3 linked regions of the Saccharomyces cerevisiae S288C genome follow. Changing the gene in region 1 together with any one later gene gives a genetic interaction. Each region holds a gene or a part of one and is shown in the gene's direction. Other genes may lie near its edges. The genes, in order: RGD3, SMY1 and RHO3.

The links.
Region 2: of RGD3 (region 1) and SMY1, a mutation in one rescues a mutant of the other (synthetic rescue), as found in Saccharomyces cerevisiae (one study listed by BioGRID).
Region 3: of RGD3 (region 1) and RHO3, changing one suppresses a phenotype caused by changing the other (phenotypic suppression), as found in Saccharomyces cerevisiae (one study listed by BioGRID).

What each region holds. Positions count from the first base shown.
Region 1 is NC_001140.6:464,400-472,428, forward strand, and holds RGD3 (Rgd3p), read left to right. Parts: upstream 1-3,819; coding exon 3,820-6,177; downstream 6,178-8,029. Other genes in the region: YHR180W (uncharacterized protein), read left to right, coding at 779-1,270; SVP26 (Svp26p), read left to right, coding at 2,829-3,515; phosphogluconate dehydrogenase (decarboxylating) GND1, read left to right, coding at 6,561-8,029. UniProt on the Saccharomyces cerevisiae protein: GTPase activating protein (GAP) for RHO3 and CDC42 that binds membranes through phosphatidylinositol 4,5-bisphosphate. Plays a key role in cell polarity. Modulates the RHO3 distribution at the plasma membrane and its polarity during growth.
Region 2 is NC_001143.9:281,042-293,259, forward strand, and holds SMY1 (Smy1p), read left to right. Parts: upstream 1-5,561; coding exon 5,562-7,532; downstream 7,533-12,218. Other genes in the region: ribosome biosynthesis protein RRP14, read right to left, coding at 1-1,288; TEF4 (translation elongation factor EF1B gamma), read left to right, coding at 1,850-2,054, 2,381-3,414; VMA5 (H(+)-transporting V1 sector ATPase subunit C), read left to right, coding at 3,989-5,167; DHR2 (RNA helicase), read left to right, coding at 7,804-10,011; PSG1 (Psg1p), read left to right, coding at 10,412-11,590; AAN1 (Aan1p), read right to left, coding at 11,915-12,218. UniProt on the Saccharomyces cerevisiae protein: Possible microtubule-based motor that can interact or substitute with myosin 2 (MYO2).
Region 3 is NC_001141.2:133,328-144,338, forward strand, and holds RHO3 (Rho family GTPase RHO3), read left to right. Parts: upstream 1-6,424; coding exon 6,425-7,120; downstream 7,121-11,011. Other genes in the region: QDR2 (cation transporter), read left to right, coding at 1-545; QDR1 (multidrug transporter), read left to right, coding at 1,090-2,781; RPI1 (Rpi1p), read right to left, coding at 3,327-4,550; pheromone-regulated protein PRM5, read right to left, coding at 7,286-8,242; HIS5 (histidinol-phosphate transaminase), read left to right, coding at 9,601-10,758; FG-nucleoporin NUP159, read right to left, coding at 11,000-11,011. UniProt on the Saccharomyces cerevisiae protein: Plays an important role in cell growth. Required to keep the uninucleated state. Modulates morphogenesis during bud growth via directing organization of the actin cytoskeleton and the position of the secretory machinery for exocytosis.

The sequences.
Region 1 (8,029 bases):
AGTTTGTGCTGGGTAGAAATTGAAAGGATATCCCCTTAACGGCTGTGCTACCGTTTATGTTCGTCCTTATCCTCTCCTGTTAAACTGTTATAAAAATCGTTACATATCTTGCATTCTGTGACCAAGTATTTGTTGGCCTTAGATTTATATTAGGGCCATTGCAATTAAACTGGCTTCAGTTCTCAATGAACGAAGGATTTTTGGCACGCTAAAACTGGTGTGAAGGTATTGCACATTCAAATAGGCTCTTTTATTGATTTGTCTTGAAAGCTTTTGGAATAAGATCTAGAATAAGGACTACCCGAAAAAGAACAGGATACCCAGTAAAAACGCTATTGGGTACCTAGAGAAGCTGGTTTGTCACTGTCCACACAAAATGCCCTAATAACATTCTGAAAGGTTCTGACCGTACATCTTCGCCTGCGGTTGCATTGAGGTCGCCTCGGTCATAAAGTGAATATGCGACCCGATGGTTGCTCAAATGTTAAATGCAGGTAAAAAATAAGACCCCAGGAATTAAATAGTAAGATTTAATATATATATATATAACGGGCACAATTCGTTCATCAAACATGCAGCGGAGTTTCAAATTTGCTATAATATAGAACATGTTTAATTCAACCAATCGAAACGTACAGGCGCACACTATATTCAAGCAGTAAAACTACTATCTGAACATTGAGGTCGAATATATATATTATAGGCATAAAATCTCCTACCAAACTTGCATCAAACCTCTAAAATTACTATTATATATTCAACTTATTTAACGTGCCCAATGGAAATGCACTGGATAACCCTCGTTGCATTTATTGCTACATTCTTCAACCTAGCTGCTACCTCGATCAACAATAGTTCCCTCCCTGATGTTGATCTTACTAATCCTTTGAGATTCTTCACTAACATTCCAGCAGGACTTAATTTTAATGAAGTCATTTTTCTCGAAAGAAACGGATTCTATCTTGGTGGAATAGACTCTCCCTCAATCTACCACTTAATAAATGGTACAGCTGTGTATTTTGGGGATGTCAGAGATAATATCATGCCGGGTACAGTTGGCACTACTAGGAATGTTACAGATGTCGACTATGGCTCCTTACTGACAGAGTATGGTTATGAAGCTAATACAGATTATGTCTCGCGTTGGATCGCCACTCATGTAGTAATCTCTCCATTGAATGCTACAGAGTTTTTCCAAACACCCGTGCCAGTACCAGTGCCAGTGCCGATAACAATACTGCACCAACAGGTGAACTCAAAACTACATTAGTCAGGACCCGTTCAGCCCGTTAATCGTGGGAATCTCTGTACTGAGGGTCAACTAGTGTATGCGACTGTGATTCAGATAATACCTTAAGCGTCGAAACCTCATACCCCCTCATCTGGCTCGGGAGCCAGTATACTATATATATATATATATATATATATATATATATATAAATTCCTAAAATACTCTCACACAGAAGCACAATAATGAGTGACGCAAATGCAATTTATGACTAATTCATCACCAAAGAGAAATATGCAGCGTTAACTCTCAATCTAAGAATATGTAACAGATTTTAATCTCACGAACTAGCGACTTTAATTGTTGTACCTTATTCCTTAGTAACGTTAGTAGTGTCTAATATTTTACTAGACGGTGCCACGATTTCAGAGATGTTAGATCAAAATTCCTTTCTTAAGAACAAGGATATGGCAAAGTATGGTAAACAAGACGTACAAGAGTGTTAAAGATAATGCATAGAACACGCTCAGTGTAAGCAAGATTAGTACAACTGCTGATCTGGAGCCAAGACAACAAATATCACATCCCGTTTGTCATGTTAAAGATAGCTTATCATAAGTTAGCTGAGACACTCAACCTCATATAAAACAAAAACTGATTATTTTGGTGAAATAATGAATCTTAAAGCTTGATAGTATTTGTATTGAATTACTACTCACAAACTATTTAAAACATCAAGCCAAATATATGCGGAGCACAGAGAAATATTTGTGAATTATATCTTTTGTTGGAAAGACAAGCAACTATCCTAGCGACATTAGGATTGCCAAGACATCCGGTTTTATTCAGACCCTTACATCAGCAGCAGCACGTTCCATCTTTTCAAACTTCCTGCCAAACATTTATGAAGACATGAAACTCTAAAATGTCATCTATTTATAGTAGTCATATTACTATTATATTATTACATGCGGTGTAAGAAGATGACATAGGATTGGGACACAGTCATCGAACTTAATGGACGCTGAAGTGCAAGGATTGATAATGTAATGGGATAATGAAACATATAAAACGGAATGAGGAATAATCCTAATATTATCATGTAGAAATATCGATTCCATTTTGAGGATTCCTATATCCTCTAGGAGAACTTCTAGCATATTCTATATACCTAATATTATTGTCTTTGTGAACAATGGATTCCCACAAATTATCTCAAAATTCACAAATATCTCATTCTCGCATTCCAACAGTTATGTTACTCATTCTATTCGTTTGTTATGTGTGTTTTATGAACGTTTGGGATGACGTATTGTCATACTGACGTATCTTATTTTGAGATACAACATAGTTGTATTTTTAGCCTCCTTAGCTTAGTGGTAGAGCGTTGCACTTGTAATGCAAAGGTCGCTAGTTCAATTCTGGCAGGTGGCATTATACCGGTATTATTTTTTTTCCCTTTGTTCTTATTTCTCTATCATTTATAACTTTATGATTTTTTAAAGGTTGAATGGTCAATGTGAAAATTAAAACTAAAAACATATAGTTGACAAGTGAGAAAAAGAGCAAAAGGGAGAAAAGAAATTGTTAGAATAAAACCATGCTGTTAGAATTGATTTCTTATGCAGGAACCGTTTCAGGGTTTCTTTTTTTAACACTTTCAATTGCATCGGGTTTATACTACATTAGTGAACTTGTTGAAGAACACACAGAACCCACAAGACGGTTTCTCACAAGGGCTATTTATGGTATAATATTAATATTAATTCTGCTACTGTTACTAGACGGTTTCCCGTTCAAACTTACACTTTTTTCCATTGCATGTTACATAGTATATTACCAAAACTTAAAAAGTTTCCCATTTATTTCGTTAACCAGCCCAACTTTCCTATTAAGCTGCGTATGTGTGGTCTTGAATCACTACTTCTGGTTCAAATATTTTAATGATACGGAAGTTCCCCCACAGTTCAAATTTGATCCAAATTATATACCACGCAGACGTGCTAGTTTCGCTGAAGTAGCCTCATTTTTTGGTATATGCGTTTGGTTCATACCATTTGCCTTATTTGTTTCTCTGTCAGCTGGTGATTATGTGCTACCAACGACTAGTGAGCAACATATGGCTAAGAAAAATGATGACATCACAACGAACAACCAGCCAAAATTTCGTAAAAGGGCTGTTGGGTTAGCTCGTGTAGTCATCAACTCGGTAAGGAAGTACATCTACTCTCTAGCCCGTGTATTCGGTTATGAGATAGAACCTGACTTTGATAGATTGGCTGTTTAGGATTGCCTTTTTTTTTAACATGTAGTTAGTTTTTCTTTATTTGAATATTCTAAATAAGAAATATGTGTAATGCTCTGCCAACTATTTTGCACAGGAAAGAAAAATCACCAATACAATACTACTATATTTTACCCAAGTTAATACGGGAAAGTATATTTTCTTTTCCATATTTTTCTTTTTTATTGACGTTTGCATTTTTTAGAGCAACTAGTAAACAAAAAACCAGTCAGGCCCAGTAGATTAAGTATTGTCATTACATAGACAAAGGCAAGAGAAAGAGAGCATTTTCTTTCGGTCTCTAGTTATGTCTGTTAAAGAGCATAACGAAGAAGATATTATTGGTGATGAATTACAGAATTCGAGGCAACTCTCCATTGATTGCGACTCAGTTAAAATTTCACTAAGGAACACATATTGGACCAAAGACTATACAACAGGTATCAAATTATTCATAAAACATATGAAGAGAGAAAATGATTTGCTGATTAAAGACATCAAATTTTACAATGATTTTGTCAACAAATTTTGGAAACCAACATTGAACAATTTACAAAAAATGGAAGCAACCAATTCAATGAATAGCAGGCTGCTGGAAGTGATGAGCAAACAGTTTAATATAATATCAACAGAGCAAGTTGAAAGAGATTGTAAAATTCCATTGCAAGAACTAAGAGATCTTAATGAGAGCTTCCTTCGTGAGGCAGAAAACGATTTGTCATCTCGTTATTCAGCTTACATTAAGGATTTAGTCGCAGCTAAAGAGGCACTAATTGGATGTGAGAAAAGAGTTCAGTCTATATATAAATTGAAAAAAGCCAATACGCCAGTGGAAAATTCTTCCTCTGTTTTTGATAATGGAAAGGATAGTGCACCGTTAACCAGGTTGAACTTCGTATGCGAGTTTCCTTACACTTTAGACGAGAGGTTAAAATTTGAGGATTGCGACCAATTTATGTCATTTTTGCAAACCTTGAAGGGAAAAGTCATCCTGGAGAAAAGTGTCTTTTCCGTTCCAGGATTGTCAAATCAAAGTTTCCAAGGCAGGTCATTGATCAAAGAATTGAAAAAACTTGAACCCAGACTAAACCTGTCCTTATTTAATATCGATAGGATAGGTAACGAATTCATCCAACTGGGTATAATACAAGAATATTCCCTGAGTTTTTACTCTAGCAAAGTTTCTCAGTTTGACCAGGAAAAATACTATTACTGGAACAGTGAAGTCCTTGCTACGCAAGAGAGTAATGGTAATGCTGGAAACAGAAAAAAAAAATCGTATGGTGAGTTAACACACTCCGACAATGAACACGAAGAAAAGTCCAACGTTTCATCTATCAAAACATCTATATCCGATTGGATCCGCAAAGTTAGTCAACATGATAATGATGATTGCGATGCAGCGGGAAGTACAGATATGAATAAAAATGAGTGGAAGAGTTTAAAACAGCAACTTGAATCATCACAAGATATTTTTTTCTCCAAGTGTTGCCAGTTGGAATATTCTAAAGTGCAGTTGGAAAAAACCATTTATGATTATTGTAAAAATTACTCTAAAATGGAGGACGGAATCAAACGAGCTCTAGAATCATCAAACATGATGTTTCAACAAAAATGTGAAAAATTTACTGACTCACCTGTGTGTTCTCTACAAGAAGCACAACTGCCACAGGAAACTGCCAATGCGGATGTAAGAGGGTTTTTCCTCAGGGATAATGGCATACCCTTTCGCAGGTGGAATATCCTAGAAGCGAGTGATCCAGTCGACGCTTGCAAAGAAATCTCCATAAAAAGCGAAAAGTTTTTCTGTGGTAGTGAAATAAATAATGAACTGGCTGCTCTTGATACGTTAGGGGCAATAAAGATTATACTGCGGCAGATTGAAAAGGAACCAAATGCTAATAAAGTCATACAAAGTTGGCACAGGGATATTGATTTTGTAAGGGTTTCTAATTTGAAAAGAGACTTATTGGGGGAATTCAAAGGATCGAAAACTACCGAAAATACAAACTCTATAATCACTGCTCATTTTTTTGAAAACTCGCACAGCTATGTCACTAATGATCTCGTCGGACTGATAAAATTATGGCTGTTAGAGCTACCCGACAGCCTAATACCTTCAAACCACTACGATGACTTAATTAAGGCCGAAAAATCGCTAACATCCCTATGTGAACAGTTTCCGACGAGCTCCTTAAGGTTTCTACAAGAACTAGCAAACCATTTTCAATTGATCAATAGCAAATACTCACTTCCGCCGCAAACAATACAAGATTTGTTTAGAGACAACAGTGACATAGACATACCATTGGCCCATCACTTCGTAAGAAGAACAGGCTTACAGAACCCTATCGACATCAAAATCTTGTCACCAACATTATCTACATTTTTCATCAACGAAAGAACTGTAGAAACTTTGCAAACGTTGATCGCAAACAGGATCACGACGGCAACTACTGCGACACTCACTGAACCGCCGACGATAATTATAAAGGATACAACGGCACCTATACACTCTACCCCTAAGCCACCGCCAAACGACAAGGATGGCCATTTCATACCTCGGCCATTCAAGACTAGTTCTACTCCGACAACCCCAGAGAGACCTAAACGTAAGAGTGGTTTATTCCTTCCCATCAACGTCAACGATGTCCCTTCTACATAACTCCATGCATGCTACATAGTAACTACGTAAATCACCTGCTACCTCTCTGTTCTTTCGTCCCGCCTCGAGGTTGTGCTGCTTTTGTACCTATTGTGGCTGTCGGTGTTACATTACGGTGCCTCGGTGTTACGCGGTGCTTCGTCCTGGTGGTCCACGCGGCCTTGCGCTTTGGCCTTGGTGGGCTTCGAGGCTGTATTATATAAATGGGCCTGATGTTCGTTAAAAGCTGCAGTATTGTTCCTGAGCTTGTTTCTTTTTCAAAGGTTTCCTTTTTTCTTAGTGGGGTCCTTTCTTACATAATAAAGTAAATAGCCTGATACATATAAACCTGTATTGTTGCCATTACAGAAAAAAGCCACTTTCTATACAAAAACTACAATAAAATGTCTGCTGATTTCGGTTTGATTGGTTTGGCCGTCATGGGTCAAAATTTGATCTTGAACGCTGCTGACCACGGTTTCACTGTTTGTGCTTACAACAGAACTCAATCCAAGGTCGACCATTTCTTGGCCAATGAAGCTAAGGGCAAATCTATCATCGGTGCTACTTCCATTGAAGATTTCATCTCCAAATTGAAGAGACCTAGAAAGGTCATGCTTTTGGTTAAAGCTGGTGCTCCAGTTGACGCTTTGATCAACCAAATCGTCCCACTTTTGGAAAAGGGTGATATTATCATCGATGGTGGTAACTCTCACTTCCCAGATTCTAATAGACGTTACGAAGAATTGAAGAAGAAGGGTATTCTTTTCGTTGGTTCTGGTGTCTCCGGTGGTGAGGAAGGTGCCCGTTACGGTCCATCTTTGATGCCAGGTGGTTCTGAAGAAGCTTGGCCACATATTAAGAACATCTTCCAATCCATCTCTGCTAAATCCGACGGTGAACCATGTTGCGAATGGGTTGGCCCAGCCGGTGCTGGTCACTACGTCAAGATGGTTCACAACGGTATTGAATACGGTGATATGCAATTGATTTGTGAAGCTTATGACATCATGAAGAGATTGGGTGGGTTTACCGATAAGGAAATCAGTGACGTTTTTGCCAAATGGAACAATGGTGTCTTGGATTCCTTCTTGGTCGAAATTACCAGAGATATTTTGAAATTCGACGACGTCGACGGTAAGCCATTAGTTGAAAAAATCATGGATACTGCTGGTCAAAAGGGTACTGGTAAGTGGACTGCCATCAACGCCTTGGATTTGGGTATGCCAGTTACTTTGATTGGTGAAGCTGTCTTTGCCCGTTGTCTATCTGCTTTGAAGAACGAGAGAATTAGAGCCTCCAAGGTCTTACCAGGCCCAGAAGTTCCAAAAGACGCCGTCAAGGACAGAGAACAATTTGTCGATGATTTGGAACAAGCTTTGTATGCTTCCAAGATTATTTCTTACGCTCAAGGTTTCATGTTGATCCGTGAAGCTGCTGCTACTTATGGCTGGAAACTAAACAACCCTGCCATCGCTTTGATGTGGAGAGGTGGTTGTATCATTAGATCTGTTTTCTTGGGTCAAATCACAAAGGCCTACAGAGAAGAACCAGATTTGGAAAACTTGTTGTTCAACAAGTTCTTCGCTGATGCCGTCACCAAGGCTCAATCTGGTTGGAGAAAGTCAATTGCGTTGGCTACCACCTACGGTATCCCAACACCAGCCTTTTCCACCGCTTTGTCTTTCTACGATGGGTACAGATCTGAAAGATTGCCAGCCAACTTACTACAAGCTCAACGTGACTACTTTGGTGCTCACACTTTCAGAGTGTTGCCAGAATGTGCTTCTGACAACTTGCCAGTAGACAAGGATATCCATATCAACTGGACTGGCCACGGTGGTAATGTTTCTTCCTCTACATACCAAGCTTA
Region 2 (12,218 bases), on another chromosome or scaffold:
TCTTTTTACCTGTTTTTAATCTACCCTCAAATCCGGCTCTTTTCTTTGGTACGGCACTACCGACATACTTTCTTTTCATCTTTTCTTGCTTATTTCTCTTTTTACCCTTGTTGTCTTTCCTAATCCTCAGATTCTCTTCTCTTCTCTTTTGTCTTTCAGATATCGTGTCTTCCACAACCCTCTTACGTTCGCTCCATTCAATCGCAGACTTTCTCTTTTGTGCTTCCTTTCTCTTTATAGCTTTGCGAAGTAGTTTTTCGTCATCCCTAATCTTAATTCCTTCTGCTTGTAACATAGCCTTTTGCCATTTTTCCTTTTCCTTCTGCTTGATTTGTTCTAGTTCGTCTTTCGCCTCCATCTTATTCTTCTTGGCTTCTAATAACTTTAAGTGTGATTTTACATCATTCTTAGCCGGACCCTTCGTTCTACCAGCTTTTCTTAACCTTTGTAAATCTGAAGTGGCCCTTGCACCATCATCGAATATGATATTTTGAAACATTACACCATCTGCGTTAATTTCTGAGTCCTTCTTGCCTTTTTTGAATCTTTTTTTCGAATTGTTTTCTAAATCACTATCGATGTCTTCCATATCGGAATCAGACGCAATTTCATCCTGATCCTGTTCCTGTTCACTTTCTAGACGCTTTCTTTTTTTCAACTCTTCCTTGCGTTTCCTTTGAGCAAGAATAGCCTCTCTAGAACCGGGTGCTTTCCTTTTACTCTTCATATCTGAAATTTTCGCTTGTAACTTGGAACGTAGTGCTTCCAAGTTTTTCTTTCTTTGTAGTTTCTCTTCCTCTGTAATAGACTTCTTTTCGACAGATCTATCGGGCTCTGTAGTATCTTTTTTAGATTCTAATGGTATTTCATTTCCCTCATCATCAAAGATCACCTTAATATCCTCTTCCTCTTCTTCATCTTCGTCTGGTGCTATTATCATAGGATCGTTTACTTCTACGTTCAGGTCGGAGTCTCCTTCCACTTTTGATGTTGCTTCCTTTTGCTTTTGCATTTTCATGTGCTTGAATTTTTCACCAGGTAGGACCACCGGCTTTGCGTCTTTCTCCTTCTTCTTCATTACTTCTAATGTACTAGATGTTTCATCATCACGTTGCTCCGGGTCTAATTTTTTCAGTTTATCATTTTTACTCTGTTCTTTGGTTTTCTTCTTGGCCTTCCATTGCTCTTGACTTTTTTCATCATAATAGTATTTTGCAGGAATTAAAGCCAATAAACCATCGAAGGCGCTTGAATTAGCACGAAGGCGCTCCTCAAGTGAATTACTCATCTCAGTCTCCTATATCTTTCAATTCCCGGACTTTCTTTATCACTTGCAACAACGTCTCAGTCCTCACTTGTTATTCATCTCTTGGTCATCTCATCTCTTTTATTGTACTTTCCTCTTTTCTTTACCGGAGATGAGAATAAAAAGAATTCATTTTAAAAAATTTTCAATTTGGTGTCTGGGTGAAACTTTTTAATCGTGTAATCCCAATTAAACCACTCTACTTTACTTTAATTGGTACACGAACTCATTACACACCTTTGCCTCTATTGCTTGTGTCAATCGTGTTGAGAGAGGAAGCCCAAAACAAGGGAAATTAACCTCTGTAGGCAAGCCATCACATTTGGCAATAGCAGCCCTCATTTAATTTAATTCGGCATGTGGCCGGCAGGGTAATGCGCTCTGCTGCTGACAAAATTGAAAGAAAAATTTTTTTCATCAACAGTTTGCAATACTTTCTTTTTCATATTTAATTCATCCATTCCGTCGTTAATTTTGTTCAAAACTGGTGTCCATCCTTAATACCAACTCAATTCTTTGATTTTGGCCCTCGATAGATTCAAGATGTCCCAAGGTACTTTATACATTAATAGATCTCCAAGAAACTACGCTTCTGAAGCTTTGATTTCTTACTTTAAACTAGATGTCAAGATCGTTGATCTAGAACAATCTAGCGAGTTTGCTTCTTTGTTCCCATTGAAGCAAGCCCCTGCATTTTTGGGTCCAAAGGGCTTAAAGCTAACTGAAGCTTTGGCTATCCAATTTTATTGTATGTTCCATATTTTATTTTAACACTTCCACATACATTGTTTTGCGCGTTTCCCGTTCGTTTATTTGGCACGTCATTTTTCTTCGAAACATAATGATGAAAAAAAATTTTATCAAACAGTTATCCCTGTCTGAATGGGTAATAATAGGTAACCTCTCATATGTTGATATTTGTATTTCTGATATGTTTCTTAAAGAAAAATGAAAGTCAAAATAACAAAAAGGAAGTACAAAGCGTGTCCTAATCCAGGAAAAAATATAAAGGATTGTTTTACTAACATTTCTTCAATTAATGGTTGTATAACCATCGAGATGATGTATATTTAGTGGCTAATCAAGTTGCCGATGAAAAAGAAAGAGCTCGCTTATTAGGTTCCGACGTTATCGAAAAGTCTCAAATCCTTAGATGGGCATCTCTAGCTAATTCCGATGTCATGAGCAACATTGCTCGTCCATTCCTTTCTTTCAAAGGTTTGATTCCATACAACAAGAAAGACGTTGATGCTTGTTTTGTTAAAATCGACAACCTAGCTGCTGTCTTCGATGCTAGATTGAGAGACTACACCTTTGTTGCTACCGAAAACATTTCTCTAGGTGACCTTCATGCCGCTGGTTCTTGGGCTTTTGGTTTGGCCACTATTTTGGGCCCTGAATGGAGAGCTAAGCATCCTCATTTGATGAGATGGTTCAACACTGTTGCTGCTTCTCCAATCGTGAAGACTCCATTTGCTGAAGTCAAATTGGCTGAAAAGGCTCTAACCTACACTCCACCAAAGAAGCAAAAGGCTGAAAAGCCAAAGGCCGAAAAGTCAAAGGCTGAAAAGAAGAAGGACGAAGCTAAGCCAGCAGATGATGCTGCTCCAGCTAAAAAGCCAAAGCACCCATTGGAAGCTTTAGGAAAGTCCACATTTGTCTTGGATGACTGGAAGAGAAAGTACTCCAACGACGACACCAGACCAGTTGCTTTGCCATGGTTCTGGGAACACTACAACCCTGAAGAATACTCCATCTGGAAGGTTGGTTACAAATACAACGACGAACTTACCTTGACTTTCATGTCCAACAACTTGGTCGGTGGTTTTTTCAACAGATTGTCCGCTTCTACTAAGTACATGTTCGGTTGTTTAGTTGTCTATGGTGAAAACAACAATAATGGTATTGTTGGTGCCGTTATGGTCAGAGGCCAAGATTTCGCTCCAGCCTTTGATGTCGCTCCAGACTGGGAATCTTACGAATACACCAAGTTGGACCCAACCAAGGAAGAAGACAAAGAATTTGTCAACAACATGTGGGCTTGGGATAAGCCTGTTGTTGTCAATGGCGAAGATAAGGAAATTGTTGACGGTAAGGTTTTGAAATAATCTCAATAACTCTTCTTCCATATTTTCTTCCCAATATACATAAGAGTCAAACAAAACGAATTTTCAAAAGAAAAAAGAAAAAAACCCTGAAGTCTACTTCATGATTACCCCATACTTACGCGTGGTTTAATTCTATGTAACGATTAACGTCCATGTAATCATTATATATATATATATTGTAATAATCTCTCTAATTGAGTATCACAATCTGCTGCGGTTACTCTAACAATATTTTGCATAAACTTGATTCTTCTCTTCTTATTTCATGTTTCAGTGGGGCATTTTCCATTGTACTTTTGCAACAATAGCGAAAAAAACAATTTTCCGTAAAGAGAAGCGTCAGTCATAAACGGTGTATGTTACCCGAACTGGAATGAATTTTATCTTAAGACTGGAAAACAATTTAGGATAGAACTGAAGATAGTGCAACACGTCTGGTGATATCATGTGCTTTCAAGCAGGATTTGTCACAGTGCTTTAGAAACACAAACAAAGGAGGTATATAGAAGTTGCAGTTGCTAGAGTTTGTTTTCTTACCTAATTCTAGATCAATTCTTTTTTCTGAAAAAAAAAAATGGCTACTGCGTTATATACTGCAAACGATTTCATATTAATCTCGTTGCCTCAAAATGCTCAACCTGTTACCGCCCCTGGCTCCAAAACTGATTCATGGTTCAATGAGACCTTAATCGGGGGTAGGGCATTTGTTTCTGATTTCAAAATTCCCGAATTCAAAATTGGCTCTTTAGACACATTGATAGTTGAATCGGAAGAACTGTCTAAAGTAGATAACCAAATTGGGGCTTCTATTGGCAAAATCATTGAAATTCTTCAAGGCCTCAACGAGACCAGCACCAATGCTTACAGGACTTTACCTATCAATAATATGCCAGTTCCTGAATACTTGGAAAATTTTCAATGGCAAACCAGAAAGTTCAAGTTAGATAAGTCTATCAAAGATTTGATAACATTGATTTCTAATGAATCTTCTCAATTAGACGCCGACGTCAGAGCTACTTATGCAAATTACAACAGCGCTAAAACTAACTTGGCTGCTGCTGAGAGAAAGAAGACGGGTGACCTTTCTGTCAGATCCTTGCATGATATTGTCAAGCCCGAAGACTTCGTTCTTAATTCTGAACATTTAACTACTGTTCTAGTAGCAGTTCCCAAAAGTTTAAAATCCGATTTCGAAAAATCGTACGAAACTTTATCCAAGAACGTTGTACCAGCATCTGCCAGCGTGATTGCAGAGGATGCTGAGTATGTTTTGTTCAATGTTCATTTGTTCAAGAAAAACGTTCAAGAATTCACAACAGCTGCTAGAGAGAAGAAATTCATTCCTCGTGAATTTAACTACTCGGAGGAATTAATTGACCAGTTGAAAAAAGAGCATGACTCTGCTGCCAGTTTAGAACAATCTTTGCGCGTCCAGTTGGTAAGATTGGCCAAGACAGCTTATGTCGATGTTTTTATAAATTGGTTCCACATCAAGGCCTTGAGAGTTTACGTGGAATCTGTTTTGCGTTACGGGTTGCCACCTCACTTTAACATCAAGATTATAGCTGTCCCACCAAAGAATCTCTCTAAATGCAAGTCTGAATTAATTGATGCTTTTGGATTTCTTGGTGGCAATGCCTTCATGAAGGATAAAAAAGGGAAAATTAACAAGCAAGATACTTCTCTTCACCAATATGCTTCTCTTGTCGACACAGAGTATGAACCATTTGTGATGTATATAATCAATTTATAATCGATTTATAATACTAACTTAGATTAATATATATTTCTGTTTTTTTTTTAGAATTTTCAACTTTTTTATTCATAGAGATAATACACTGTGATTGTGAATGTTTGAATAGTAATGGAACATAATCCGATAAAATATGCTTTTGATGAACGATTAGACATTTTTCAATTTTGTCGTTGAGTTCCAATCCTTCCTTATTTATGGTTAACAAGGAAAGAGGTGGAAGTTAAAAAAATGGAAATTAAAAAAAAAAAAAAATCAAAAAAAGAAAAATAAAAATAGAAAAATTGGCACGGAAATCTACAGGATTTAGCACTAGTAGGGGGTTTATTAAGCACTACAGGTCGACTTTAAACCAGAAAAAATTATCATTCAGGGTAGGTGCAAACTTGTTAAAATGCACTGGAATATAATTTCGAAAGAGCAAAGTAGCTCTTCTGTATCGTTACCAACTCTAGACAGCAGTGAACCCTGTCACATCGAAGTTATCCTCAGGGCGATACCCGAAAAAGGATTACAAAACAATGAGTCGACCTTCAAAATAGACCCATATGAAAATACTGTGCTATTTCGCACAAACAATCCGTTACATGAGACAACCAAGGAGACCCATTCAACATTTCAATTCGATAAGGTATTCGATGCTAACGCCACTCAAGAAGATGTTCAGAAATTTCTGGTGCATCCAATAATAAATGATGTTTTGAATGGTTATAACGGTACTGTAATAACATATGGACCAAGTTTCAGCGGAAAGTCCTATTCCCTTATTGGATCAAAAGAAAGCGAAGGAATTCTACCGAACATATGCAAGACCTTGTTTGATACGCTAGAAAAAAATGAAGAAACAAAGGGAGATAGTTTTAGCGTAAGTGTTTTGGCATTCGAAATATATATGGAGAAAACGTATGACTTATTGGTACCTTTACCTGAAAGAAAACCATTAAAGCTTCACCGTTCTTCAAGCAAAATGGACTTAGAAATCAAAGATATTTGTCCGGCACATGTCGGATCGTATGAAGACTTAAGAAGCTACATTCAGGCAGTCCAAAACGTCGGCAATAGGATGGCATGTGGCGACAAGACAGAGAGATCAAGATCACACCTAGTTTTTCAATTACACGTAGAACAAAGGAATAGAAAAGATGATATATTAAAAAATAGTTCTTTATATCTGGTTGATTTACACGGGGCAGAGAAGTTCGATAAAAGAACTGAAAGTACGCTATCACAAGATGCGTTAAAAAAATTAAACCAATCTATTGAGGCGTTGAAAAACACTGTGCGGTCCTTGTCAATGAAAGAGCGTGATTCAGCCTACAGCGCAAAAGGATCACATAGTTCTGCTTACCGTGAATCGCAATTAACTGAAGTGTTAAAAGATTCCCTTGGGGGAAATAGGAAAACAAAGGTGATATTGACATGTTTCTTAAGTAATGTTCCAACTACCCTATCAACACTAGAATTTGGTGACAGTATTAGACAGATCAATAACAAGGTTACAGATAACACCACAGGTTTAAATCTGAAAAAAAAAATGGATCTATTTATTCAGGACATGAAAATTAAGGATGATAATTATGTTGCCCAAATTAATATACTAAAGGCTGAAATAGACTCTTTAAAAAGCCTTCACAATAAATCTCTTCCCGAAGACGACGAGAAAAAAATGTTAGAAAATACAAAGAAAGAAAATATCAAACTAAAGCTTCAATTAGACAGTATTACCCAATTATTGAGTAGTTCTACCAATGAAGATCCTAACAATCGTATTGACGAAGAAGTTTCTGAAATATTAACGAAAAGATGCGAACAGATTGCTCAGCTTGAGTTATCTTTTGATCGACAGATGAATTCCAATTCTAAGTTGCAGCAAGAGTTAGAATACAAAAAGTCAAAAGAGGAAGCCTTAGAGTCTATGAACGTTAGGCTACTAGAACAAATTCAGCTTCAGGAAAGAGAGATTCAAGAGCTTTTAACTACTAACGCCATCTTAAAGGGTGAACTAGAAACTCACACTAAACTTACTGAAACACGCAGTGAAAGGATAAAATCTTTGGAAAGTTCTGTCAAAGAGCTTTCTCTTAATAAATCTGCAATCCCATCTCCTAGAAGAGGGTCTATGAGCTCGTCATCAGGAAATACTATGTTGCATATCGAGGAGGGTTCTGAAATATCAAATAGCCCTTGGTCAGCCAATACTTCCTCAAAACCTTTAGTATGGGGCGCGAGAAAGGTTTCTTCTAGCAGTATAGCAACCACTGGATCACAGGAGTCTTTTGTGGCAAGACCGTTCAAGAAGGGATTAAACCTCCATTCGATAAAAGTCACTTCGAGTACTCCAAAAAGTCCCTCTTCTGGAAGCTGACTATAATTAAGTTCGATAATTGTACGATACAACTGTGTAGTATCTTTGTAATTATAATCATGATGATAACGCTAATAATTTGTACGTATAATGCTGACTGAAAGATGTACTTTTCTTCTACCGTTTTTCTTCGGCGGCTATTCGTTTACAATGATTTGGAAAAATGAGAAAAATTGAAAATAAAAAATTCTGCTCGATGAGATGAGATGAGGTTATGATATATATGTAAGAATTCCTCAAGAAGAGGTTGCAAGAGTCTGCAGACATTATCATGGCAGCAAATAGCAATAGTAGAGTTGCATCAAACCATACTTCTAAAAAACAAAAGGTTAGGAGGAATATACATCCATTCACGAATAACACTCGGATTAAAAGAGCTAGTAAAATCGTAAAGTTTAATGATTCAGGCGAGGGCGACCATGTTTCAGACCAACGTTCGAACAAGGAAAATGTCCTTACTTATAAATCTTTGAAAAGTCGGGCAAGCGATTTACTCAAAATGAGAGAAACACTTCCCGTTTACCAACACAAGCGAGAAATAATGTCATATATTGAAAGCAATCCCGTTACCGTCCTTATTGGTGAAACAGGTTCTGGTAAATCAACACAAATTCCGCAATTCGTATTAGAAAAATTATATGATACGAAGAAGCATGGGTCGATTGCTGTAACTCAACCCCGTCGTGTTGCGGCCATCAATTTGGCTACACGTGTTGCTCAAGAACATGGTTGCAAACTGGGTGAACAAGTAGGTTATTCTGTCAGATTTGACAATACGACTACTACAAGAACAAGACTTAAGTATCTGACTGACGGTATGTTACTTAGAGAACTTATGATGAATAGTGACCTTAGAGAATACAGCGTCATCGTTATCGATGAAGCGCATGAAAGAACTGTGCTTACAGATTTGATATTGGGGTTCTTAAAATCCTTGATACAAGGGCCAAGACCTGATTTGAGAATAATTGTTATGTCTGCAACATTGCAAGCCGAAAAATTTAGTGAGTTCTTCAATAATGCCCCAATCTTATTTGTAGAAGGAAGAAAATTTGATGTCAAACAATACTACTTGAAGGCGCCAACAGATGATATAGTAGACGCTGTCATCAGGTGTTGTATACAAATAAACCAAGGTGAAGAACTGGGAGATATCTTATGTTTTTTACCGGGCCAAGAAGAGATTGACAAAGCAGTGACTATAATGGAGAAAATTGCAAAGTATGTTTCAGATGAGGCCCCAGTACCATTAATAGTTCCTTATCCTTTATATGCAGCTCTTCCCGCGGTCCAACAGTCCTTGGTCTTCGCTCCGATAAAGGGTTTCAAGAGAAAAGTCGTCTTTAGTACCAATATTGCAGAAACATCTGTTACCATATCCGGTGTTAAATTTGTCGTTGATTCTGGTCTTCGAAAAGTCAAAGTTTGGAGACATCAGCTGGGATTAGCCACTCTACTTACCGTACCCATTTCTCAGGCAAGTGCGATGCAGAGAAGTGGTCGTGCTGGTAGAGAAAGTGAAGGAAAGAGTTTCAGGCTTTATTGTGAGTCTGATTATGTGAAATTACCTAAACAAAGTGAACCTGAAATAGCCAGAAGTGACGTCACATCTCCTGTGTTAATGTTGAAGAGATATGGTGTTGATGACCTGCTAAACTGGACCTGGTTTGAGAACCCTGGAAAGGAAGCTATAGTAATGGGGCTTCAGGAACTTTATGAATTGGGTGCTCTTGACACTCGTGGAAAGATAACTAAACGGGGTCAACAAATGGCTCTGTTACCGCTACAACCGCATTTAAGTAGTGTCTTAATTAAAGCCAGTGAAGTCGGATGTTTGAGTCAGGTCATTGATATCGTCTCTTGCCTTAGTGTGGAAAATTTACTGTTGAATCCGTCACCAGAAGAAAGAGATGAGGTGAACGAGCGTCGTTTGTCCTTATGCAACGCTGGTAAAAGGTATGGTGACCTTATCATGCTGAAAGAGCTTTTTGATATCTATTTCTACGAACTAGGGAAAAGTCAAGATGCAAGCTCTGAAAGAAATGATTGGTGTAAAGGATTGTGTATTTCGATACGTGGGTTTAAAAATGTAATTCGTGTCAGAGACCAGTTAAGAGTTTATTGTAAGCGTTTGTTTTCTTCAATCAGTGAAGAGGATGAAGAATCCAAAAAGATTGGTGAAGATGGCGAGCTAATTTCGAAAATTTTAAAGTGTTTCTTAACTGGGTTTATCAAGAATACAGCTATAGGGATGCCAGACAGGTCTTATAGAACTGTTTCCACTGGAGAGCCGATAAGCATTCATCCATCATCTATGCTATTTATGAATAAAAGCTGCCCCGGTATAATGTACACGGAGTATGTCTTTACTACGAAGGGATATGCCAGAAATGTTAGTAGGATTGAACTTTCATGGTTACAAGAAGTTGTCACTAATGCAGCCGCTGTAGCAAAGCAAAAAGTTTCTGATTCAAAATAAGTCACCTACTCTTAGCGCATTTTTATTGTATATAAAGGCATTTAATGTAATTTATAGAGCATTATAAATCGTAACAACTACTGCAGTATGAGTTTCATGGATTCATTTCTCAATATCTTATGAATATACACAGGTATATATGTATATTCATGTTAAACGCCTTTCGAATTGTTCGTTGGCTTTTTTTGTGAAATTATCTCGGGAAAAGGGCGAAATTATATTATTTTGCCGTTGACATTTTGAAAAGGAATAAAAGATCATGAAAAAAATAAGAAAGGCAATTCGACGCATTTCTCTCAGCAAGCTATTCTTTACTTTTGAAGAACAAAATATTTTAGCAAAAAGGTTAAGACAATATAGTCGGAAGCAGTTCTGCGGGATCTGAAGGAATTGCGGAATAATGAGATTTCACGATAGTATACTTATCTTCTTTTCTTTGGCATCGCTTTATCAACATGTTCATGGTGCAAGACAAGTCGTTCGTCCAAAGGAGAAAATGACTACTTCAGAAGAAGTTAAACCTTGGTTACGTACGGTTTATGGAAGTCAAAAAGAATTAGTCACTCCTACGGTCATTGCCGGTGTCACTTTTTCTGAAAAACCAGAAGAAACACCAAATCCATTGAAACCTTGGGTATCTTTAGAGCATGATGGTAGGCCAAAAACCATTAAACCAGAAATCAACAAAGGTCGAACCAAGAAGGGAAGACCTGATTACTCAACTTACTTCAAAACGGTAAGTTCCCACACATATTCTTATGAAGAATTGAAGGCTCACAATATGGGCCCTAATGAAGTTTTTGTAGAAGAAGAGTATATTGATGAAGATGACACCTACGTCTCCCTGAATCCTATTGTCAGATGTACTCCTAATCTTTACTTCAATAAAGGTCTAGCAAAGGATATCCGCAGTGAGCCATTTTGTACCCCTTATGAGAATTCTAGATGGAAGGTTGACAAGACTTACTTCGTTACTTGGTATACAAGATTTTTTACAGATGAGAATTCCGGTAAAGTTGCTGATAAGGTTCGTGTTCATTTGTCCTATGTTAAAGAAAACCCCGTAGAGAAGGGCAATTATAAAAGAGATATCCCTGCAACTTTTTTCTCTTCCGAATGGATTGATAATGACAACGGTCTAATGCCGGTTGAGGTCAGAGATGAATGGCTGCAGGACCAATTTGATCGTAGGATCGTTGTATCAGTTCAGCCAATATACATATCAGATGAAGATTTCGATCCACTACAATACGGTATTTTATTATACATCACTAAGGGTTCAAAAGTGTTTAAGCCTACTAAGGAGCAACTGGCTTTAGACGATGCAGGTATAACAAATGATCAGTGGTATTATGTTGCATTATCTATCCCTACTGTCGTGGTGGTATTTTTCGTCTTCATGTACTTTTTCTTATATGTCAACGGGAAAAACAGAGATTTCACAGATGTTACTAGAAAAGCTTTAAACAAGAAACGCCGTGTTTTGGGTAAGTTCTCGGAGATGAAGAAATTCAAAAACATGAAAAATCACAAGTACACCGAATTGCCATCTTATAAGAAAACCAGTAAACAAAATTAGATTCCCTTCGAAGTATGCATTCACCCTTCCTCGAGAGGGCTGTTTTTATCTTCCGTCACACTAATAGAAAACCACTCTATCCAGTTTTTTTTGTTACTTAACTTATCTTAACTCGATATTGTATAAATACTGAAGTCCATATACTTCTTTTTTTCTCCTTTGGATAGTAAATACGGTAAATTAAAATTAGTGTAAACTGAACAATATTAACATATATAAATCATCTGTACGACAATTTGATACCAAATAAATAGAGAATGCATCAGCATCCTCCAGGGTTCAAAAGAAAACGCTGGATCTTGCTTCTTTTCCTTTGATTTCTCCTTATATCCATTTCTGTCTTGCAGCAACTTCACATATTTTTTCCAGTGTAATGACCCTTGGATCAGGCTTAAAATGACGCTCAACCACATTATCATCTCCTTCCACATTCCTGCTAAGTAAGCTTTCTTCGTCGCCCTCGCTATTGTCCACATTATCTTCATCTTCATCATCATCTCCGCCGACGTCTTCAATGTAGTAGAAAAAGGGTTCCAACACCAACATAATTTTCCAGAAGTTGTTCGTGCCACAATTAGCAAACAAGACATCTACAAGGGCAGGTAGGTATTCCAATTCAATGTACTCC
Region 3 (11,011 bases), on another chromosome or scaffold:
ATTACAGGCGCAGATTAAAATATTACCAAAATTGGTTGGGCAAGAAGAGATCAAAGCTTTTAGAAGAACACGACAACGACCTTAATTTGGTGCAACGTATCATAGAAAATGATCCCAAATACACCTTTAATATCTTCAAGGCGAGGTTGCAACCCGCATTTGTTACCTTGCTTTTAAGCAGTAGCGGATTTTGTGCGTACGGATGGTGCATTACTGTCAAAGCCCCTTTAGCGGCCGTTCTTTGCATGAGTGGATTTGCGTCGCTGTTTTCCAATTGCATTTTGACTTTTTCAACAACTCTAATAGTTGATCTTTTTCCCACGAAGACATCTACGGCTACGGGATGTTTAAACCTTTTCAGATGCATTCTATCTGCTGTGTTTATAGCTGCATTGAGTAAAATGGTAGAAAAAATGAAATTCGGAGGTGTTTTTACATTTTTGGGGGCTTTAACCTCCTCGTCATCGATCCTCTTATTTATTCTCTTGAGAAAAGGTAAAGAATTAGCCTTTAAGAGGAAAAAGCAAGAACTGGGAGTAAATTAAGAAGTAAAGCTTCTTGAATCAAAGGAAAATGTTCCTTTTGATCGCTCCACTACCGAGAAAGAGGAATTGGTGTGATAAGTCTTCTCAAATAGAAAGTAATAGTAAGTATTTTTTTTTTTTTAATCTGAACTCTGTAATAACTAAAATTAGAGTTAGCAGCACGATTCACTAACATAGAACGGCTAGTACTGAGTTTTGCCTTTATTATTCTCCGCCATTTTTTGCCAAGGCCGAAAATATGCTGGAGGTGCGAAATTCGGAGATTCGGGTTTCATGTTTCTGGCCCGGTTGTTAACGGACCCTTTATCTCATCTTCTGATCTTGGAGTTTCTTCTAGTTGATAAAACCATGGTGAAGCTGAAAGGTTTGAAGAATCTCTATCACTGTAGCAAAAAAATCTTCTTACAACAAAAAAAGTAAGCAAGCAATCAGCGTTCAAAGGAACTTATTCTTGCTTAAAAAAAGTGATAATCTCTTAGCACTACCATCTTCTATTAATAAAAAAATAACAGATAGCTCATGAAGAGACTTCTATAAGTAAATCATGACCAAACAACAAACTTCTGTAATGCGTAACGCATCTATAGCCAAGGAAGAACGTGAAGGATCTGATAATAATAATGTGGACAGATCCAGCTCAGATGCCATCAGTGACAACGACGCAGAAAGATCTAATTCTCATTCTGAAATAGATAACGAATCAAATTTTGATATGGTGCCTTATTCAAGGTTCAGCCATAAGCAAAAAATGCTTCTTGTCGTTCAGTGTGCCTTCACAGGCTTTTTTTCAACCGTGGCAGGGTCTATCTACTATCCAGTGCTTACTATTATTGAGAGGAAATTTAACATCACAGAAGAGTTAGCTAATGTCACTATTGTGGTTTATTTTATTTTCCAAGGGGTGGCTCCTTCAATTATGGGTGGTTTAGCTGATACATTTGGAAGGCGGCCTATTGTATTATGGGCAATCTTAGCCTACTTCTGTGCCTGCATCGGACTGGCATGTGCACATAATTACGCCCAAATCCTGGCTTTAAGGTGTTTACAGGCAGCAGGTATTTCTCCTGTTATTGCAATAAATAGCGGAATAATGGGAGATGTAACGACAAAAGTAGAGAGGGGTGGATATGTTGGATTGGTTGCAGGGTTCCAAGTTGTTGGAACTGCATTCGGTGCATTGATTGGTGCCGGATTATCCTCGAAATGGGGTTGGAGGGCAATTTTTTGGTTTTTGGCTATTGGTTCCGGAATTTGTCTAGTTTTTTCAACCTTATTGATGCCAGAGACAAAAAGAACTTTGGTGGGAAACGGCTCCGTAACACCAAGGTCATTTTTGAATAGGTCTTTGATATTGCATGTTGGTTCCGTAAAAAAAACATTACATTTAGACGATCCTGACCCTGAGACCTTAGAACCACGTACTAGCGTGGATTTTTTAGCACCTTTAAAAATTTTGCACATACGAGAAATAGACATTTTATTGTCCATTGCCGGCCTGCAATTTTCCACGTGGACCACTCATCAAACAGCCTTAACAATTGTATTGAGTAAAAAGTACAATCTATCTGTTGCAAAAATAGGCCTGTGCTTTTTACCTGCAGGAATCTCGACACTGACAAGTATTATCTCTGCTGGTCGGTACTTAAATTGGAGCTACAGAACAAGAAAGGTTAAATACAACAGATGGATTAAAGAACAAGAATTACAGCTGATGGAGAAATATAAAGGTGATAAAAACAAGGTAGCAGAACTTATTCACTCTAATTCTCATTATGCATTCAATTTAGTGGAGGCAAGGTTGCATCCAGCATTTGTGACACTTCTTCTCAGTAGCATTGGCTTTACTGCCTTTGGATGGTGTATTTCGGTGAAAACACCGCTTGCTGCTGTATTATGCACAAGTGCATTTGCAAGTTTATTTTCAAACTGTATTTTGACCTTCTCTACTACTTTGATAGTAGATCTCTTTCCGTCTAAGGCTTCTACCGCAACAGGTTGCTTAAATTTATTTAGATGTCTCCTATCCGCAATTTTCATTGCAGCACTGACCAAGATGGTCGAGAAGATGAGATATGGAGGTGTTTTTACGTTTTTGAGTGCTATAACTTCATCTTCATCGCTTTTATTATTCTATCTCCTGAAGAATGGGAAACAACTATCGTTCGATAGGATTAGGGCAAATGATAAGTCGGCTGGAAGGTCAGTTGGTAAAAATTCAGAAAAAGTTTCGACGTGAAGAAAAAAAGTCGTAAAACTAAAAAGTCTCTGCCCCCACTTTCCAGAAACAGATATCTATATTTTATAACAAAGACGTACGGCATCATTTAAAGTATCTAAAATTTCTTTGAAGAGATCACATAAAAAATTTTCACCTTCTTTTTCTCTTTTTGGCTGTCCAAGTAAACAAAACATAAACTGCTTCAACCAAAGATAAAACTTGAGAAAATCCAAAATGAACAATAAGGACATTTCTTGGTGACAGATTCGTTAAGTTTCATTATTTTTTTCACTTATTTTATAGAAAAAAATCGGATGTTGAATGGGCATAAATATAAATGTATATATAAGTAATATTGTCTTGTTTCCCTGGAGAAGTAAATGAAAAATGAAATAGCATACAAAACAGACATAAAATTTAAAACAGAAATGAAATGAGCATTTAAAATTAATTAAAAGGTGAAACGACGAATTGAAAATTATTGATGAGGGTGAAGGGAAACAGGGAATGTGCTAGAATTAAAGGGGTAGAAAATTTATGGTGGAGACTTCCCGATACATACTTTAATGTTGTTGCATAAAATTTTCTGAGTCTGAAGTTGACATATTATGCAACGGTTTATTTTGTTGGTAAAATTTATGGTTTAATTGCTTAACTTCATTTTTTAAGCAGTTTACTTGTTCCTTTAAATTTTCAATAGTGTTAAACATTGTTTGCCACATGTATATGACATCTGTAGAGAAAACTGGGGAAATTTGTTCTTGTTGTGCATCGCGCGGTAGCTGTATAGGCATTGTTTGCTGGAAAAATGGCGATGGTGGAGTTTGCAGGATTAGATTGTCTGCCGGTGCTGATGACAAAAGGGAAAATTGAGCCGGGCTAATGAAGGATGGTTCTCCTTTGGTATCCAAAGCTGGCAAAGATTCTAATTTATCGAGGTTGATACTTGACTGAATATGCTCTGGTGTACTAAAAACATTAGTACTATGATTACTATTCCTATTAATATTATTGCTATTATTATTGTTGCTATTGTTACTATTGTTAATATTATTATTGTTATTGTTACAATTATTATAATAATGGTTATTAATATTATCATTAGTACCATTCTTGTTCGGCTTCAATGTTTTTTGCGACTTGAGTATAATGTTTCCGTTTACAAAACTAAAAGTGTTTTGTAACTGCACTAGCAAATACTGCATTCTAGATAATTTTGACGGATCAAAATTTAAGTTTGAGCCTGCCTCTTGTTTTGATTTTTTTTTCTTTTGCTTGGATTTCTTTGATGGATGCACTTTCAAAGACTTTGTGTATAAGACTTTAAATCTATCATGACATTGACGAGAGTTTCTCTCGTACCCATATTGTTGGAATAGGATTTTTGAAATTTTTTTCCAAAAATTCTTCATAGGCTTGAAATATTCTACGAATGTTAGTAATTGAGAATTATTCATTATTGTAGTAATGAATGCTATATCCTCAGGCTCTTTCCATTTTTTCCTTATCTGTCTTGCAGACGAGGAGGATGAATTAGAGTTGTTTAGCTCATTTTCGTCAATAGAGCCTGAGTTGGAGTTGGAGTTCGAATTAGAATTGGAGTTCGAATTCGAATTTGAACTGGAAATTATTCTTGGAGTAACTAAAGAGCAGTCCGAACCCGTTTCTTCATTAAAATTTGAAGTAATGGGTGTGTTTAAATTTGGTGAATAATCAGGGAAATTTTTGCTTATAGTGCTAGACTCATCCATTAGGTTCAACTTCGGTTGAAGATATTCCAAGTACATTTTATAAATATCAGTAATAAAATGATGAGAAAAAAAAAAAAAGACTTAAAAAAAAGGACTGAGAAATAGTTAAACGAATACGATAATATGATATACTACCATGAACTGTAGTCTGGATAACCAAACGGAAAAAAAGGAAATACAAAAAAAGTCAGATTGTAAGGAAAAAAAAAGAGTAGTTTCAGTATTACGAAAACTATTAGATCTTTCTTTAATTTGAACAAGAAAACAAGACTATAAAAAAAAATACTCTTTAGGATGCAGACATAAAAGAACAATACGACCGTCCCTTATTTATATATAGTCCATAGAAATAATCTCAACCAATATAATATGCAAGAAAATAACGAAGTAAGGAACAAGCACAATGGTACGCCCGGTCTTGAAAAAGTTTAAAACAGTACTCGACCCTAGGCGCTAGGGTGGGTGACGCATTTTAACTTTGCAACAGAATGCCATATGCGGTGTTAACCTCACAAGATCGGCTCTACTATCTGCAAGCTGCGGCAAATACCAGAGAAAATTCCATTCCCGTCGACAAAATTTAACCGACCCCCCCCCCCCCCAATTTACGTTTATCAGCTAATCCAAATGTGGAAGGGCAACATTCTCGACGACTCCTTTTTCCGTAATTTAAGTTTGCCCAGGCAAAATCTTATACTTGTTTTCGTAAGAGAAAGATGCGCAGATCCTTTAAGGTTACCTTCAAGCAAATCCAGAAGCACAAATGGCAGGGGAGAAAAGACATGAAGCAGGAGTAGTCAACCGCAAAAACCCCCGCGGGCTTGTTGTTCTGCACATTTTTGATGTGTTTGTTCCTAAGACAAAGTCCTAACTTAGGGTAGTAAGTGACTATATTCTGCACGCTCTTAAAGCAGCCACCTCGTTTAATTTTGCATGCTTATATAAGCTTATAAACGAAGTACCTGAGGACCTGCATCGGCCGGCCCATGTGAAAAGGAAGTATTTACTTTTTCTTCTTCTTTACTATGGAAATAGCTGGAATCCGACTATGCATATGCGTAAGAAAAGAAAATGAAGGAGTTTTCACAGGAAAGCACACTTGCATACTGGGCACAAGTGAGGAGAGGGGCCTGTAATGCTTCTGTGTTTAAAAGACTCCGAAATTAGTCAACGCAGATTTGCAGATGCACGCAAGAATACATAATCAATCACAGTAAGCACATCTCCCCAAGGAAAGAGTAAATGCCTTCGAGCCAGCATTGTGGTCATGCGAGATGTCTAAGAAAAATACTTCGATAAGCACGAGGAAATGTAATATGTCTATCTACCTTATTTTTTTTACAATAAACATATAATAAATCCCTTATCTGGTCACGTGAATTAAACTTCGGGTGTGTTGTAAGAATGGAAGGAGTAAGCGAAACTCAAATTGAGGCCACTTACCACTTCCGGTCGAGCCCGGCCCAGAACCAGTCGTCGGCCAACTTTTTTCTTGGAACAGCGTTACCGCACCTACGCGAGAAATAGTAGATTATAGATAAGAAATACAAGGAGAGGGGTGTGGATGAGCTTTTTTACAAAATAGTGTAAGGCGTCCGGGAAACCCCAAGAACGTTTTTTGACATCCACTAACAGGATTACCCGTCATAGATATACTGGTGCCATTACCCGTTAATGGCATCTTGTATATTTCTTTTATCTTTCTTAACATTCCTGAAAATTGGTAAACAGTAAAAAGAAAAGAAAAAGAAAGAAAAAACATGTATTATTTTGAATTTACTGGAAAATAGGCAACCATTGATTTTCGTTTTTTTATCGTTCTCATCTCTAGCTCTGGTCAGCATTTTTTACTTTATAACAACAAGTTTTTCATTAAAATCCATAGTAGCACAAGGTAAAGGGAAACAAACATGTCATTTCTATGTGGGTCAGCTTCAACGTCAAATAAACCGATCGAAAGAAAGATCGTTATTTTGGGCGACGGTGCCTGTGGTAAAACTTCGTTGCTGAATGTTTTCACCAGAGGTTATTTTCCCGAAGTTTATGAGCCTACTGTTTTTGAAAACTATATCCATGATATTTTCGTTGACAGTAAACATATCACGCTATCGTTGTGGGATACTGCGGGCCAAGAGGAATTTGACAGGTTACGATCCTTGTCTTATTCAGATACGCAATGTATAATGTTATGTTTCAGTATTGATTCACGCGATTCTTTAGAAAATGTCCAAAATAAATGGGTGGGTGAAATCACTGATCATTGTGAAGGCGTCAAGTTAGTCTTAGTTGCACTAAAGTGTGACTTAAGAAACAATGAAAATGAATCTAACGCAATCACACCGAACAATATCCAACAGGATAACAGCGTTTCTAACGACAACGGAAATAACATAAATAGCACCTCAAACGGCAAAAACCTGATAAGTTATGAAGAAGGTCTAGCTATGGCTAAAAAGATCGGTGCGCTACGTTATTTGGAATGTAGCGCTAAGCTGAATAAAGGTGTCAACGAAGCTTTCACAGAAGCCGCAAGAGTTGCTTTAACCGCGGGCCCAGTAGCAACCGAAGTGAAAAGTGACAGTGGATCCAGCTGTACCATTATGTAATATAATAAGACACGGACGCACACACAAAAGAATAGAACCCAAAAAGAGAGACTAAACAAATAATATAATAAGTTATAGAAGTTAATAATACTCCTACTATTTTATATTTTTTATGTAATTACTACCACTGCTTAAAAAAAATATTGCAAAATATCATAAAAGTTTTTACTCATCCTGTTCTTTCCCCTCCAGCATGTGCTCGAGATAAGTCGAAGGTGTAGGTTTTCTTTTGGACTGTACGACCAACAAATTACCCTTACTATGGTTACGATTTACGCTACCATCACTTTCTGGTGAATTAAGCAGCTTTCGACTTGGTGAAGATGCAATTTTTGCGGGTTTCCTTATGTCTTCACCCACCTCCTTTTCATTACCGTTATCGAGCGACGATGCGGATGATGAAGAGATTGTAGACACCAGAGAATTTGTAGATACATTATCACTTGTCATAATCACAGGTTTCTGTAATAATCTAGGGCTTTCTTGGTAAAGTTTAGATAGCCTTGTTTTGTATAAGATATCACCTGTTGGTGAAATGAAAAGTGAATTTCTGTTGGATTCGGATGCAAGAGAGAATAGCGGCCTTTCGAAATTACTTAAGAATGGTTTTTCATTATTAGTATGAGATACAAGTGCATCTTTCACCGATTCATCCTTATTTCCGGGACTAATATCGGACTCGCTGATATGGACCTGATCTTGGAAATTTTCTTTGGCGGGATAATCCATATATGGGGAATCGCCGTAAAACTGGGTATGTTGTGTGGAAAACATCTTTGATTCGTAGTCCTGAACACTTCTGGTCAACCTATGCGAAGAATAAGTTGTTATTACCCACCATAGCAATATTGCCAAAAAAATCACTCCCGCGATTCCCCCCACTACAATGAAAACTGTTCCATTAGGCATATCCCCGGAATCCAAAATATAAGGATTACCATTTCTAGAGGGAGGAGTAATACTTGGTATAATAGAAGAGGATGTAGAGTTGGACAAAAGTGGTAAAGAAGATGAAGAAGAAGCAACAGATGTTATCGTACTACTTGAACTGGCAGTTGTTGTCGAAGAAGTGGAAGTGGTTAATTTTGGAAGGCCTCTCTTGGCAATGGTGATTACTGTCATTCTTGCGTTTTGAGTGTCAATTTATTCTATTTTCAACGACCTTTTAAAGTAATAATGAGTGCTCTTGACTTAACTCTAATGCTATAACTGTTTCTTTGCACCGATGCGTTCCTTTGAATGATCTCAGGTAATATATTAAATATTTTTCAAATGTCTTTACCACATTCTTCAGTAATACATTTTCTCTCTAATTTTTCATTTTCCATTTTCCATTTTATTTTTAGAACGTGTGACAAAGTTGTTTCAAGAACAATATAGAATTCTTAGCCAAAAAGAGAAAGCAAGAAAATTAAACTTTATTTGTCTAAGAAAAGCCCGAACAGCGAAACCGATCACTTCCCAGGATCGGAAGGTGTCACTTTGCGCCTTTTGCTCCGCCGCTCTTTCGTCGGCGTTCTTTGCTTCCCTGGGCGCTGTCGCATTAAGAATATCATGTATATTCAGGAACAAAGGTAAATCACCTATAGACGTGCGCCGCAATAACCCTGCTAAGAAAATTCATTTAAAAAACTTACCTGCCAGTCTTGTTGTTTACTCAAACCACATACTATGATTATACTTTTGTCAGAGTTATGCGATGCCGCTTAAGCTTTGATTAAGAATTTTTTTCTCTTCTTTAAGTATGCCGTGCACTTTTCGCTTCTCCAAAATATGACCCAATACTCATTTGGTTATTTTTACCAAGTAATCGATCAGATAGCATTAATAGCGTGAATATTTGATGGAATAACATATTAGAAAAGCTTTAGCTGGCAATTCTTGTACTGTCTTTCGCCGAAACCTGTTTGATGACTACTTCATCAATTTTTTTTTTTTCTGCCGCATTCCAAAGGTCATAACTTTGCAAAAATAAAGGGTAAATGGTTAAAAATTGTTATCATAAATAAGGTGACCGGTTATATTGAGACCTTTCCTGGACAGTAACTAATACAGAAGCCATTGGTAATGCAATAATTTATTTGATCATGTGACTACGATCCGGGTGAGACTATTCAAAAAAGGAGTCAAGCATTGAAATAATTAATGACTAATCCGAAGTTAATTGTTAGGAGTCAATTGTTTTTTCCAATGAATGGAATCTGAGATGACTAAACTACCAATTTTCAATAGTTCATGGTATAGTGACGTAGTTAGTGCTTTTTTTTCTTGGATCTGTTGACTCACTTCAATTGATGTTTCTTACCCTGACATGACATACTTGATATTTTATCTCTCACGTTATATAACTTGAAAAGGATGCACACAGTTCTGTTCAATATACCCTCCAATATGTAAAAACAGTTTTTCCATTGATTACTCTTAATTTGTTTCCTGCTAAACCAGCAGTACGTGTGTGCCGTATATATTAAAATTACACTATGGTTTTTGATTTGAAAAGAATTGTTAGACCAAAAATTTATAACTTGGAACCTTATCGCTGTGCAAGAGATGATTTCACCGAGGGTATATTGCTAGACGCCAATGAAAATGCCCATGGACCTACTCCAGTTGAATTGAGCAAGACCAATTTACATCGTTACCCGGATCCTCACCAATTGGAATTCAAGACCGCAATGACGAAATACAGGAACAAAACAAGCAGTTATGCCAATGACCCAGAGGTAAAACCTTTAACTGCTGACAATCTGTGCCTAGGTGTGGGATCTGATGAGAGTATTGATGCTATTATTAGAGCATGCTGTGTTCCCGGGAAAGAAAAGATTCTGGTTCTTCCACCAACATATTCTATGTACTCTGTTTGTGCAAACATTAATGATATAGAAGTCGTCCAATGTCCTTTAACTGTTTCCGACGGTTCTTTTCAAATGGATACCGAAGCTGTATTAACCATTTTGAAAAACGACTCGCTAATTAAGTTGATGTTCGTTACTTCACCAGGTAATCCAACCGGAGCCAAAATTAAGACCAGTTTAATCGAAAAGGTCTTACAGAATTGGGACAATGGGTTAGTCGTTGTTGATGAAGCTTACGTAGATTTTTGTGGTGGCTCTACAGCTCCACTAGTCACCAAGTATCCTAACTTGGTTACTTTGCAAACTCTATCCAAGTCATTCGGTTTAGCCGGGATTAGGTTGGGTATGACATATGCAACAGCAGAGTTGGCCAGAATTTTAAATGCAATGAAGGCGCCTTATAATATTTCCTCCCTAGCCTCTGAATATGCACTAAAAGCTGTTCAAGACAGTAATCTAAAGAAGATGGAAGCCACTTCGAAAATAATCAATGAAGAGAAAATGCGCCTCTTAAAGGAATTAACTGCTTTGGATTACGTTGATGACCAATATGTTGGTGGATTAGATGCTAATTTTCTTTTAATACGGATCAACGGGGGTGACAATGTCTTGGCAAAGAAGTTATATTACCAATTGGCTACTCAATCTGGGGTTGTCGTCAGATTTAGAGGTAACGAATTAGGCTGTTCCGGATGTTTGAGAATTACCGTTGGAACCCATGAGGAGAACACACATTTGATAAAGTACTTCAAGGAGACGTTATATAAGCTGGCCAATGAATAAATAGATTAATTTAAACAGTATATGTACAGTTTTATATATATATATATATATATATACATATATAAAGAAACCTGTGCGTTTTTTGTATTTTCAAATACATTTAGTTTTGGCGCCACTTCTATAAAAGGTCTCATGATATTGTTACAATATCAATTTTTCTTCGTTTCTCATGCCCTGTTTCTATGATAGAGGATGAATTTATTATTAACGGCACTAACAACGTACATATAGCTAAATATCACTATTTTGCCAT